Linked DNA regions of Caenorhabditis elegans. The protein of the gene in region 1 interacts with the protein of each later gene in a pairwise test. Each region holds a gene or a part of one and is shown on either strand. Other genes may lie near its edges.

The links. Proteins that work in one complex are often made in the same cells at the same time.
Region 2: the proteins of syp-6 (region 1) and sec-3 interact in a two-hybrid assay, tested with the Caenorhabditis elegans proteins (one large-scale study listed by BioGRID).

Annotation. Positions count from the first base shown.
Region 1 is NC_003279.8:6,564,160-6,569,420, forward strand, and holds syp-6 (Thyroid receptor-interacting protein 11), read left to right. Parts: upstream 1-1,996; 5' UTR 1,997-2,013; coding exon 2,014-2,072; intron 2,073-2,117; coding exon 2,118-2,191; intron 2,192-2,237; coding exon 2,238-2,363; intron 2,364-2,410; coding exon 2,411-2,799; intron 2,800-2,842; coding exon 2,843-3,328; intron 3,329-3,372; coding exon 3,373-3,517; intron 3,518-3,666; coding exon 3,667-4,029; intron 4,030-4,072; coding exon 4,073-4,375; intron 4,376-4,420; coding exon 4,421-4,500; intron 4,501-4,547; coding exon 4,548-4,607; 3' UTR 4,608-4,734; downstream 4,735-5,261. Other genes in the region: bag-1 (BAG family molecular chaperone regulator 1), read right to left, coding at 1-86, 131-290; mei-2 (Meiotic spindle formation protein 2), read right to left, coding at 709-998, 1,046-1,198, 1,246-1,532, 1,579-1,691.
Region 2 is NC_003284.9:3,094,900-3,101,415, reverse strand, and holds sec-3 (Exocyst complex component 1), read left to right. Parts: upstream 1-1,563; 5' UTR 1,564-1,578; coding exon 1,579-1,708; intron 1,709-1,754; coding exon 1,755-1,882; intron 1,883-2,309; coding exon 2,310-2,408; intron 2,409-2,459; coding exon 2,460-2,837; intron 2,838-2,886; coding exon 2,887-3,059; intron 3,060-3,106; coding exon 3,107-3,278; intron 3,279-3,352; exon of another isoform or gene 3,353-3,488; intron 3,489-3,587; coding exon 3,588-3,834; intron 3,835-3,880; coding exon 3,881-4,235; intron 4,236-4,284; coding exon 4,285-4,411; intron 4,412-4,459; coding exon 4,460-4,721; intron 4,722-4,769; coding exon 4,770-4,894; intron 4,895-5,345; coding exon 5,346-5,444; intron 5,445-5,493; coding exon 5,494-5,745; 3' UTR 5,746-5,988; downstream 5,989-6,516. Other genes in the region: ztf-13 (C2H2-type domain-containing protein), read left to right, coding at 17-171, 218-335, 807-935.

The sequences.
Region 1 (5,261 bases):
TTTTCCACCCATCACAATGATTTTATCATTTTCTTTAAAATTTAAAGTAGAAAGGGAGACATCGTCGGCGCCTTGAAGAAACTTTCCTGTAAAATACTTTGTCTCATTATTCCAAAAAATCAGAAACAACCTCTGTGCAACAACTTCATGGTTTCAACATCAACATCATTGTCGGTGGCGATTCGATCGCGTAGCTGCCCAAGTGTCAAAATAGATTCGTCTTCTCCTTGATTTTCCTCAAGAATGTCGATTGTAGTTTGAACGGATGAACACGACACATTCACCTTCATTTCTGAAAATTGATTTTGAGACAGTTTTAGCAGTGGGAGAAGCCTCCGAGTGTCGATAAATAAGAAATTGGAACAAAATTATTGTTAACTTATTAGAAAATTAAGAAACTTCTAGAAATGACGAGAAGCTTATGCGAAAATCAGTTCCTCCACGAGGTGTACACATCGATTGCAATGGGGCGCACTCGCTCAGAGACTTCAGAGAAAAACGATTCCATAGACAATGAATCACCGTTTTCGTACGATACTGTGAGGGACATTAAATTAGCCCATTTTTGTTTTTAAGTCACAATACGAGAGCACATGATAGTTTTTATATTGGACATGTAAGAAACACAATGTATGAGCAATAAAATAAACAGTGAGTTGGGTGATAACCATCGGTTGAATAATAAGTATGCAATTATTTACAAGAAAATTACTTATGGCTGGAAACTTTTTTCAATCGCTCGAGAATGGCATCGAGTTTGTAAATTGTCTCCTGGTCAATCTGTTTGTAGATTTTGTCCCGATTTTTAACTATTTTGCGAAAATTGTGAATGCACTCTGTTGCTTTTGCAGCTCGCTCTTCAGCTACCACATCGACTCCAATTCGCCGAGTTTTGGTGGATGCAAATCCGATGATTGTGTCCAGTAAACTGTTGGTAATTGATGCAAGAGCCTTCAAGCAAGCCGATCGCTTCCCATAATTGTCGCTCGTGATATTTTCTGAATTACAAAACATTAGAATAAATTTATCAGGAAGCAAAACCAACCCATGATAAATGTTAAACAAGCATGGCACGAGTTGAGACACCAAGAGTTTCTACTATTCAGAATTCTAATGACTGTGGGAGCGAGTTGGTTGTCGTTTGACAATATCTGTTCCATGTTACTTGTGAAACTCTTCATCTTATAAACACGAAGATCTGAAAAGAAAACATAAACTGAAAAATCAAAACTCTGCAAATCCTACTTCTGCTCTCTCGCTTCGCACAAACACCGATTTTATTCACTTCCTCGGTGCATGCGGACCACAACGACGCGTTTGATGACATGACTGACACGGATGATTCTGGGGAGGATTTTGGCAAAGAACTGCTATGTTCTTCACCTCTCGAAACCGGGTTCCGAGACAATTCCTTCTTCGACTCGGAATGCAATGGACGTCTTGAGCGAGTATTTGTGAACTCGGGCAGATCGGCTTTCACAGTTCGAGAACTCCCGATGAAAGTGATGGGAACGTCCTTTTCCGCACCGCGTCTGAAAAAAATATAATCGCTTCAGATACTTTTTTCGTAGAACTCACCGACTCGAAGTAGATCTTGTATTTGGTCTGTTTTCAGCGGATTTCGGAATGTCGTTGAGAGGCTTCCTATTTTTTGCATGTGTTAGTTTTTTCCGGTCGTCAAGCCCTGACATCTGAAAAATTTCAAAATTTCAAATTTAAGAAGAGACAAACATTTTATAATTGGAAAAAAACACAAGATATCAAAATTAGACGAAAGAAAGGAACTAGTAAACAAGAAAAAACCGTTTTCCCGCATAAAAGAAATTCCCGCGTAATTCTTTGAAGTACTATCGTACCCCGCATGAGCGCTGCGGGACCCGAATAACATCTCATATGCGCCTTTAAAGTTTTTAATATAAAGCTGGATTTTTTAATCCTAAGTATTTACTTTTGCCTCATTCCAATGAATTCTTGAAACGATATATTTAATATTTAATTTAGTTCTTATAGTAAATGGCTCCAGTACTTGGTTTGTTGGAAAATGAAGCGAAAGTCAAGTCGATCATCAGAAAGTAAGTCACCAAAAAAAGAAACAGTTTATATTAATTTAATTTCAGCAATAACCTACTCGAAAAAAAGTTTTCGAGCTTTCAAAGACAGTGTAGAGACCTATCAAGAAACCATGCACTCCGTAGGCGATTTTCGTTCTTGGTTGCAAACGAATTACATTTTTTCAGTCGATTCGTGTTGTTCACAAGTCAAACATTCGGCAACAGCCGCAGAAGAAATGTCAGTCAGCGATAAAGATGTGAAAAATCACCAGAAGAAACTTCATTCATTTTTGGCACAGTCTACTGATCAAGGTATCATTTTCCTTTTAACTTTTAATATTTTAGTTTTCGTGTTTCAGTTAACTCCACGATTGATAAAATGGATTTTTTCTGTTCCAAGGGCAATCACTCTCTTCCGATGGAAATGTCAGTGCTTTCGATCACACTTCCATATGAAGCGTGTATTGAAAAATCTGCAAAAAAACACGAAACTATGGTTTTTTCCATTGATGAAGTTTCGAGTGCTGTTCAGCACCTGGAAAATGAAAAAGTCGATGTGGAAAAGCGTCAATCTTCAACAGGCAAACTTATATTTCAAACTGAAAAAGAAATTATGAAGCTAAAAGAAGAGATTCAAGTAAATACAAATCTCGAGTCAAATATTATTCAATTGTCTCTGGAGAAGCTTTCTTCAGTCAAAGACTCTTCTACGAGTGAAAATGTTTATAAAGCGAAACTGGAAGAGGAGGTATTTCTGTTTCATAAAAAAGGATGTAAAATTTATAATTTAGATAAACGAAGCCAGGCAAATATATGAAGACGCATTGAAACAGGATGTGATCAGCCAAGAATCAGCTATGATGACCCAGCAACTAGAATCTCTTAATGAGTTGTGCTCTGACCTCAGTGATCTTAACAAAATTAATCTTACATCTATCGAAAAGTTTCCTGATTGCAATGAGGTATGCGAGCTCTCCGATGAACTGCAAACTCTTGAAAAGTCTGAAGCTGAAAACTCAGAAAGTATAATAAATCTCGAGGCGTCGTTGGAAGATATTAAATATCAGAACAAGAAAGTCCGTAAGAGTTTTGATCAAATAAACCAATTGGAAAACGCATATATCGTTAAAAAAGAGGTTCTGACTCGGAAGAAATCTGCTATCGAGGACGTCAAGCGACAAATTGCTGAAAGCAAAATCACATTAAATAAATTGAAAGTGACTGTCCGTGCTGTGGAACGATCTGACACCCCAGAGAATGTGGAATCAAAGAAAGAAGTATTTATTCATTCAAATTCAGTATATTACAAGTCTTGTTTCAGGAGGCTTTTCGGCGTCTCGTGGCATCTAGCACTGAACTTCCCGGACCAGAGTCATTCCAGCGTGACAATGTTCGAAATGTGGAGAAATCATTGCGTTTTAAGAAGTGGAACCAAAGAACCACGTCGCAGTCGTCGTTCACTTCAGGTAAGATGTTTAATTGTTTTTATACCAATTTGATTACAACCACATGTTTACTTTTTTGAATAACAAAATACGACGCTTTCAAAGAAGTTTGCAAAGTTTTTTTAATAGACTTTGTGTCAAAGAAGAAATAAATTTATAATTATTTATAGTTTTAGATTCAACACGATCTATTGGACCGATTGGTGTGCATTATCCAGGGATAAAACTTATCAACAAAGACGCTGCAACGCCCACTGAAGTTATTCGGAAGATTACATCGGAGCTAAATGAATCTGCTACTTCTGAAGATTCAACATTCGATGACGATACAGGCACAACACAGGATGAGTCTGGATTGAATGCATTCTTTAATTCTCCGGTTAGCAAAGAACAAACTTCAATGCGTCCACAGTTTTCAATGATTGCTCATATGGAGAAGTATGATACAATGCAGGCCAAGAAAAACATGGATAAATTGCCTGATAATGTTCGCCGAGAAAGCGAAATGGAACACATTTCCCATAATTACGGCCGTAATAATAATTTTTACAGTACGAAAAATTCTGATTACTTCAGGTCCCTCTGAAGTTAACCGCCCGGCGAGTGTTTCATCTAAACGCCACGATCCGGCTGCAAGTATATCGGCAACATCGGAAGAGTCGATCCTATCTGGAACCACTCAGGATGAATCTATGCTCAATGATTTCTTCAATCCAACAGGCACCGACGAAAAACTTAACGACGTTGAGTTTTCCATGACTGCGCATGTGGCAGAATTCGATAACAGACAAAAAGCAAAAAGAGCTGCAGAGCAAATTAAGAAGAGTTCTTCAAAAATATCTGGCAAAAAAGAGGAATCAGTTGCAGATGATAAAAGTGGTTCTTGAATTCTGAATAAGCTTGACAATTTGCAACTATTTTCAGGCTCTGGCAACAGCTACGTAGCTGAAAGTGAAGCTGGCTTCTCACAAGGATCTGAGGAAAACGAATCCATGGATGATGAGGTTTGTGTCTCTTAATGGAATATTCATGAAACATTTATTGTTTTCAGGATTTGGTTGCTCCAGATGATGGCGGTCTAGATCAAACGATTTGGGATGGTGACGACTAAAACTTTCTACATTCTAATTTAATTCATACTTTTTTGTGTTCCTCTTATACGGAATTTTCGCGTAATCTTGTACTATTCCATCATGTTCCTATTGTTTGTGATCTGTTATAAGTTATAAATCATTGTTCTTTAATATTTCAATATTATTGCTGTCACTGTCAAAATGCTAATTAAATTTATCTTTAAAAATCAATTTAAATGTTTAAGTCCTGTAAATATTTATTAAACCGTCGAATTTCAGGAAAAATAACTGTTATAAAATTTATTTTACATGTTAACATGCATGTTAGAAAAGAAGAATTTTACATGTCAACATGCATGTTAGAAAAGAAGAGTACTTGAGAAATTACAAAAGTTTGTATGTATTTACTTGTTTCAATAGTTTTCATTTGTCTGTGGTCGTTGTCTCGCTGAAAAAGACGGGCGGTGCGAGAAAAAGGGTTTTATTTGGACACTAAACTCAATAAAGATACACTTTTTTGATTTCGCTCGCTAAAACTTTTCAATTTCAATACTTCACTTTTGCATCATTTTTCGTGCAGCTCTCTGCGTCTCCGCTTTCAAACACTTCTATTTTGGGTCAATTCTGTTTTTTTTCTTGTTCAGTTTCGAATCAATAGTTTAGCGCGGCTCCAAACATCTAGAAAATCCTTC
Region 2 (6,516 bases), on another chromosome or scaffold:
AGAACTATTTTTTCAGCTGGAGTCTGCAGATCACGATGATTTTGTGTCGAGCATGAAAAATACATTTATTTACGGGAAATTCATAAAACGTTCGCCTTCGGAAAGCTACGTCCCCTCGGCGACCGTTTTTAAGACACTGACTTTCAGCACAATGCCGCCCCAAGTCAAATTGTAAGAACTACCAAATTTAGGTTTTTAACAATATTTTTCGTTTTAGCAAAAAATCGTCTCGACCGGTTCCACCTGGAAAAAGTCTTGGAGAAGTCGTCTCTAAAATGGCGGCAAGTCAGCCGCAGTACACTGTGCGATCTGCTCCGTACTCAAAGGGTCGAGCGGTAAGATTTTGATAAATGCATTAAGTTACTTGTCATGTCAGAAGGTACTACTACATATTGTATTATCACTATTAGACTTGCTCACCGATTGCTTCACGCTGACAGCTAATATCTCGATTTTCTTTAATTTTATCAAAACATTTTAACTGCGTAATTACGTAAAATAATTTTCAACATATTGACATTGTACTATTTTTGGTACAATTTAAGACAACCGAGATATAAGCTAGCAGGTCTAATAGGACAAGTTTCAGTAGTTACCAAGATTTAAAATACTTCCAAATTCGGATTGTCCAGCATATTTTGTGTGTTTTTTCTTTAGAATACAATAATTACTAATGGGGCTAATCAAGTAATGTCGCGAAATGTAACAAAATGTATTGAAATATACATATGTCCACATTTGTTTTATAAAAAAAAATTTAAAGGGGCGATAATACAATTTACTGTAAAAACTAATAAATAAATCAGATCATCAAAATCCCGACTTCAATTCGTAACCGCAACTACACACTTCCACCTGCAGGCCCACTTCCGCTGCGTCGCACTTTGATTACTACCAACTACACCATGTATCCAGTCAGAAACGCTGTTCAGTGATAATCTCATTTTGAAACTTACCCCCGATTTAATATAGCTACATGTCATTAATCATTTTCTTTTGTCTCACTTAAGTTTTCTGTTACTTTTTTTCTACTTTTAACTTATGCCTCAAGTCACTTCCAAATCAAAACCACGACCTTTTCAAACTCTCTGTTGTTTTTTTTCTGATCCGTGTAATATTATTTATTGTTTCTTTCTTTTTTACTTTTGCAGATTCTCCTAATTGAAAACTTTCAATTGTCATTTTTTTACGGTCCGTTTTAGGAATCGTGTTCTATTTAAATAATTGCCAAAAATAAATCTTTTCAGGTCAATCAATTCGTTTCAATTCTATTACTATATCTTTTGCAAGTGTAAAAATAAAACCAAATAAAATTATTTTTGCTTCCCTGCATTGCAATATAAATAGTGGTGTTCATCGAGAAACGCGCACGCTAACCGGCCACTGGCGTGTTTTTCGTGTACTAGTCACCACAGAAAACTGCAGAGACGCAGAATAACTCCGTATGTTTTTACTGGGCATAACTGTTTCCAATTCCCTGATTTTATTGTTTTCTTTTTTAATGCTTGGTTTAAGTTTAAAATTTTTATTATTCTACTTAATCAATGTGATTATATAAATTTTCAATTTCAGATTTGAATGTCTGCAATCAGGAAGATAATCCAGCGGCAACTTTTCCAGAAAGACGATGAAAGAATTCAAGCAATAGTCAATGTCTCAAAGTTGGATGGAAAAAAGAAGAAAAACCAGACACTACTATGTTTAGCAGGTAAGAATTCTTGGAATTGTCCTGTATAAAAATCGATAACTTGCAGTCACAATCGAGCACCCCATCGCCGTCCGTTTATACTTTGTGAAAGGGGAGAAAGATGATACATTCAAAAAGAAGGACAGGTTCAATTTGAGAGAAGTCAGAGAAATCGACGGAATAAATCCGAAAAAAGTGAGTATTTGAAAATTATATGGATTCACGCAATTTATACGATATATGTAGTGAGCAAATGTGAGCGTAACGAAGAACATAACGCAAAAAATGTGAAGCTTCTCGAATAACTGAGGATTTTCAAGTTTTACGAACACTAATGTTTGATGGAGTTTATCAACCTAAAATAGCTAAAAATTCGCCATTTTGCCGCAACTTTTCAACGATCTTTATCAATTGTAAAAATTGCAATTAGCTAAAGTTAGGTGAGAAGTTGTTGAAAGAATAGTTATTGTACACTAAATTTGTCGAAAAGATGATGCAAATTGCAGGAATTATTTTGACAAAATGGCTTATCAATTAGTTAAATTCGCATTTACTTCAAGTTTTTTTGGGTTTAAAAAAAATTGAGAATTTTATTCAACTGACAAACATTAAAAAAATTCAGGCATCACCAGAGTTCCACATCACTATCGGTGATCATCAATATGTGATTTTGGCTGGTTCCGCTGAGGAAAAGGACGAGTTCATTCGAGAACTCTACAAGGTATCCAACTATAATACTTTCAACTTTTTTACTGAAAATTTCGTATTTTAGTTGTCATGCCAATACCTTCCAGTCCAGATGCCAGATTTCTGCAATTTCTCTCTACCGCAACTTGAATCAGAAACCTCCATTATACCCATTGAGCTTCCTGAGCATGATATGGCGATGCAAAGTGATTATCAGCCAATATCCAACAAGGAGGACGCAGACTTTCGAAAGTTGATTGCGCGAGCTAATTTGACTATTGGTGAAGCACATATTTTTGCCGAAATGCTGACGGAGCAATTGCAATCTCTCGATGGAGCCAACATCAACTCTATGATGGACAGTGAGAATTCCGTAAACCAGTTGCTTTCGAGTATTGATGCAGCATTGACCGGTGTTGAGTCGGTCGAAAAAGAGCTTGATCGTTGTGATGACATTTTGGCGGTACTACATTGTAAAGGAATTTATTGAAATTTTAATCAACTATTTTCAGTTTGTGAGGAACAGTATCGAATTGATCGAAGAGAAAGATAGTTTATCGGTGGTTGAAAGAAAGAACAAGCAACGTCTCAACGAGGAAATCGTTTCATTTGTCAATTCGTTGCAGGCTGTTACTGATTCCCACATTGAGACTCTGAAACAAGCTAACTTCAGTAACCCAGAAAGGTAGAGTGAACAACTTAGAGTTTTCAAGTAATATTATGATACTTCAGTGTTCAAAGATGCACGGACGCTGCACGCGCTGTTGCACAATTCTGGCACGGGAGGATTTCTAAGCCAATGCTTCAAATGAAAGCCTATCAGGACAGAAATGATGAGCTTACCGCAGTGGATGTCTTTGTCGATAGGCTCATGTCTCACCTCTCTGCACTGTTCTCGAATTTGGTAAGTTTCAATGAACGTGTGCTTGCTTGCTCGAGGACCCCCTAAATTGTAGAAGTATTAGAGAATTCCGGAGGTCACGCTCTCGCTAAAGGACCCTCTGAATTTTTTGAAAATTTCAACCAAAATTCTCGAATTTCAGATATTTTACAGCGCATGCGAAGCTTTTTTTACATCACATACCATAATTTCACAATAGATTCACGTTAAAATGTGGAGTTTTTTCAATACATCTATTATAAATTTTAGAAGAATCCTGTAGCAAGCGCGCGCACTGTATAAAATCATTTTCAACGCGTGTTTTTTTTTCAGAACGACTTATCTTTGGATCATGAGTGGCATGAACTGTGTATTCCAAAACAGTCTCAACGCTTTCGCGCCCTTTCTCCACTCTCTGATCTTATCAACTGGCTGAAAACGAACCGTCCAAAGGCTTGCAATTTAGTCTTGCAAAAGTATATCGACAGCACGAATCTACTTTACAAACGTCTATTTGACAATTTCTTTGAGACACTGATCAACAAAGTTCCAAAAGCTAACAGTTCTGAAAAGAAGTCAAGTATGTTTGCTAATATTTGCAGCAAAAAATAATCATCTGATTTCAGAAGCAAATGAATCTGCAAACATTTCACTTCGTTCTGACAACCAGAGTTTCCTGAGCACCTCCAGTGAAATTGATACTGAAGTCTTACCGCAACTCATCGAAACGGTGCTGGCAGAACTGAGCGCTGTGATTGACGCAGAGCAAAAGTTCGTTGTCCGCTTCTTCCACATCAACTCGGAGCTGTTGGCTCAGTTCGATACGACTTCAACTGGAAGCGGTGATAGCTCAAGTCTCGGAGGACGTAGTATGGAGAAACATATGAACGAGCAAGTGAGACACGTTATGGGCAACTTGTTTGACTCGCTCAATATTCATCTTGATAGTTTCTGTCGGGCGGTTTGTAGGCACAATCCTAGGTGAGAAAAGGTACACGTACATATTATTTTAAATTCCTACACATTTTAGCAATGTTCTCCTTTTGTTTGTAATCATGTCGAAGAAAGTGCTTCTACCACAAGACCCAAGCTCCTATTTTTCGATCACATTTGGAAGTTTAGTTGTTCTGATAAAACGCCAGTTTGATGCATTTATTGTGAGTTCCATTTATATGTACTGTAATTGCAATAATCTTCTCTTCCAGCAAATGGAATGTTCCCAGTACTCGGAAGTTCGCATTGCTAAAAAGACTAGAATCGGAATTCTCCCATCAATTTTTCGCTTTGCAAACTTTGTGAGACGTGCTGAAATTATCTTTGAAAATGCCGAGAGAAGAACTGACTTGGAGAAGGCATATTTCAATCTTTGCCGGGCGGTTTGTGACGGGATACAAAAAGCTGCCGCCAATCAATACAGCAAGTCTCCGTCGTCTGTAGTCAAGTTTGAAAATTACCACGAGCTCTATTGTAAGTGTTCTAGGAAACAATAAAGTGTGATGGTGATAAATGTTTCAGTGACTTTGTCGGAGCTAAAAATCTCATGTTTGGATCAACAACGAAAAGATGCGAAAGCGCTCAAGGAAGAACATATTGATGCGTACGTAAAAGAGTTTATGGGTCGTCCACTCAAAGAGATTCAGGTGATATATAAATATGGAAATTTATGTTTCAATACTGTGCTGCCAATGCTTGAAAAAAAACTTGACTATTATGCTTTAAACTAGTTTTTTCTTTCTAATTTTGGCTTGTCATTCTACAACATTTGTAAAAAAAGGCACTCTACCATAGTTTAAAGTTGGAGTACCAAAATTTGAGGCTTTGCTATTTTAGACCCAACAATTCAGCGCATATACGCCCAATAAAAGACCAACAAATTTATTAAAGAGTGATCAATAAATAAAAATTAAGTTCCAGACGCTGCGACACCGAGAAGTTGTAAAAATTGTGATTTTAGCTGCAAAACCTTTTTTCCGACTTTGAACCTCCATAACTTTTTTTGAGGAATTTTCAAAACATCTCATTCGAATTTCGGTACTCCACCTTTAAACAAAAATCTCCCAAAACTATCGATATGTATTCCAAAAATTTCAGACGTTCTTCGACAATGTCAACAACTTTATCGAAACGCGTGGAATTCGTCCTGATGAAATCTCGTATCAACAACAATTCAGTCGCATTGAGCTTAAAAAGGTTGAATTTCTAGTTAATCATCAAAATCGCCATTTCATAAATTTTCCAGGTAATTTCACAACATCCGGGAAAAGAAGTGAAAAAAGGACTCGAGCAACTGTACAAGAAAATTGAGAAGAACCTGGTTGCCAATTCATCACTTTTGCAAGTTGTATGGAGAGATATGCAAGAGCAATTTGTCAAGCAAATTGCGGAATACAACAAACTGATTCTCACTTGTTACCCAGGCTCGAAGATTGAGCTCGAAGTTTCCACTGACACTGTACTTCAGTTCTTCTCAGAAATTGCTCAACAACACTAATATTACGACGAATAATTTTATTGAATTTTGTTGTTTTAATTCATTTAAAATTTAGTTTTAATTTATCAGAACTCTAATACTTACTGAACCATGCTTTGTAATATATTTATTTATCTATTCTGTAATAGGTGAACTTCGTTACATTACTGATGTCTGTAATATAAATTTACGGGTGTTCCCCATTCGAAAATAGTAGTAATGCTTGCTTTTTTGAAAAATAAATGTCTTGCTTGGTGACTTTTATTTCACGTATTTTCAAATGCTCACAAAAATTTCACGGAACTGACTTCTTGGTTACACATTTGTAGAAATTTTGACTGAATGTTTGCATTGAACTGGTCAACTTAAGAATCTGACATGCAAATGGTGTGTTTTCTGAAGAACACACTTTGGCAACTTTTAATAAAAAAGGGGTGTAACACGATTTAAATCTAATAAAAACAACTTCTATAATGTTATTCCGTTTATATCTCACTTTATGTTTTACATTTTACTCTTATATACATTTTTTGACTCATTTATACAGGGTGGTCCATAATTATGGACCACCCTGTACTTATATCTTATTTAAAACTATTTCATGTAAGAATTGTTTTAACAGCGCATTTTTTTTCATCACTCGATTTAAAGGTAAAATTGATAGGCCGCAATCTATTTTGGAAAACTTCAGAACAAAATTTAACATTTTAAGAGGTAACTGTGAAGGTTTATAAGAGAATTATAAACCGATCTAACCACTAAACATGGTAACGTAGAAAAAGTAAAATTAGG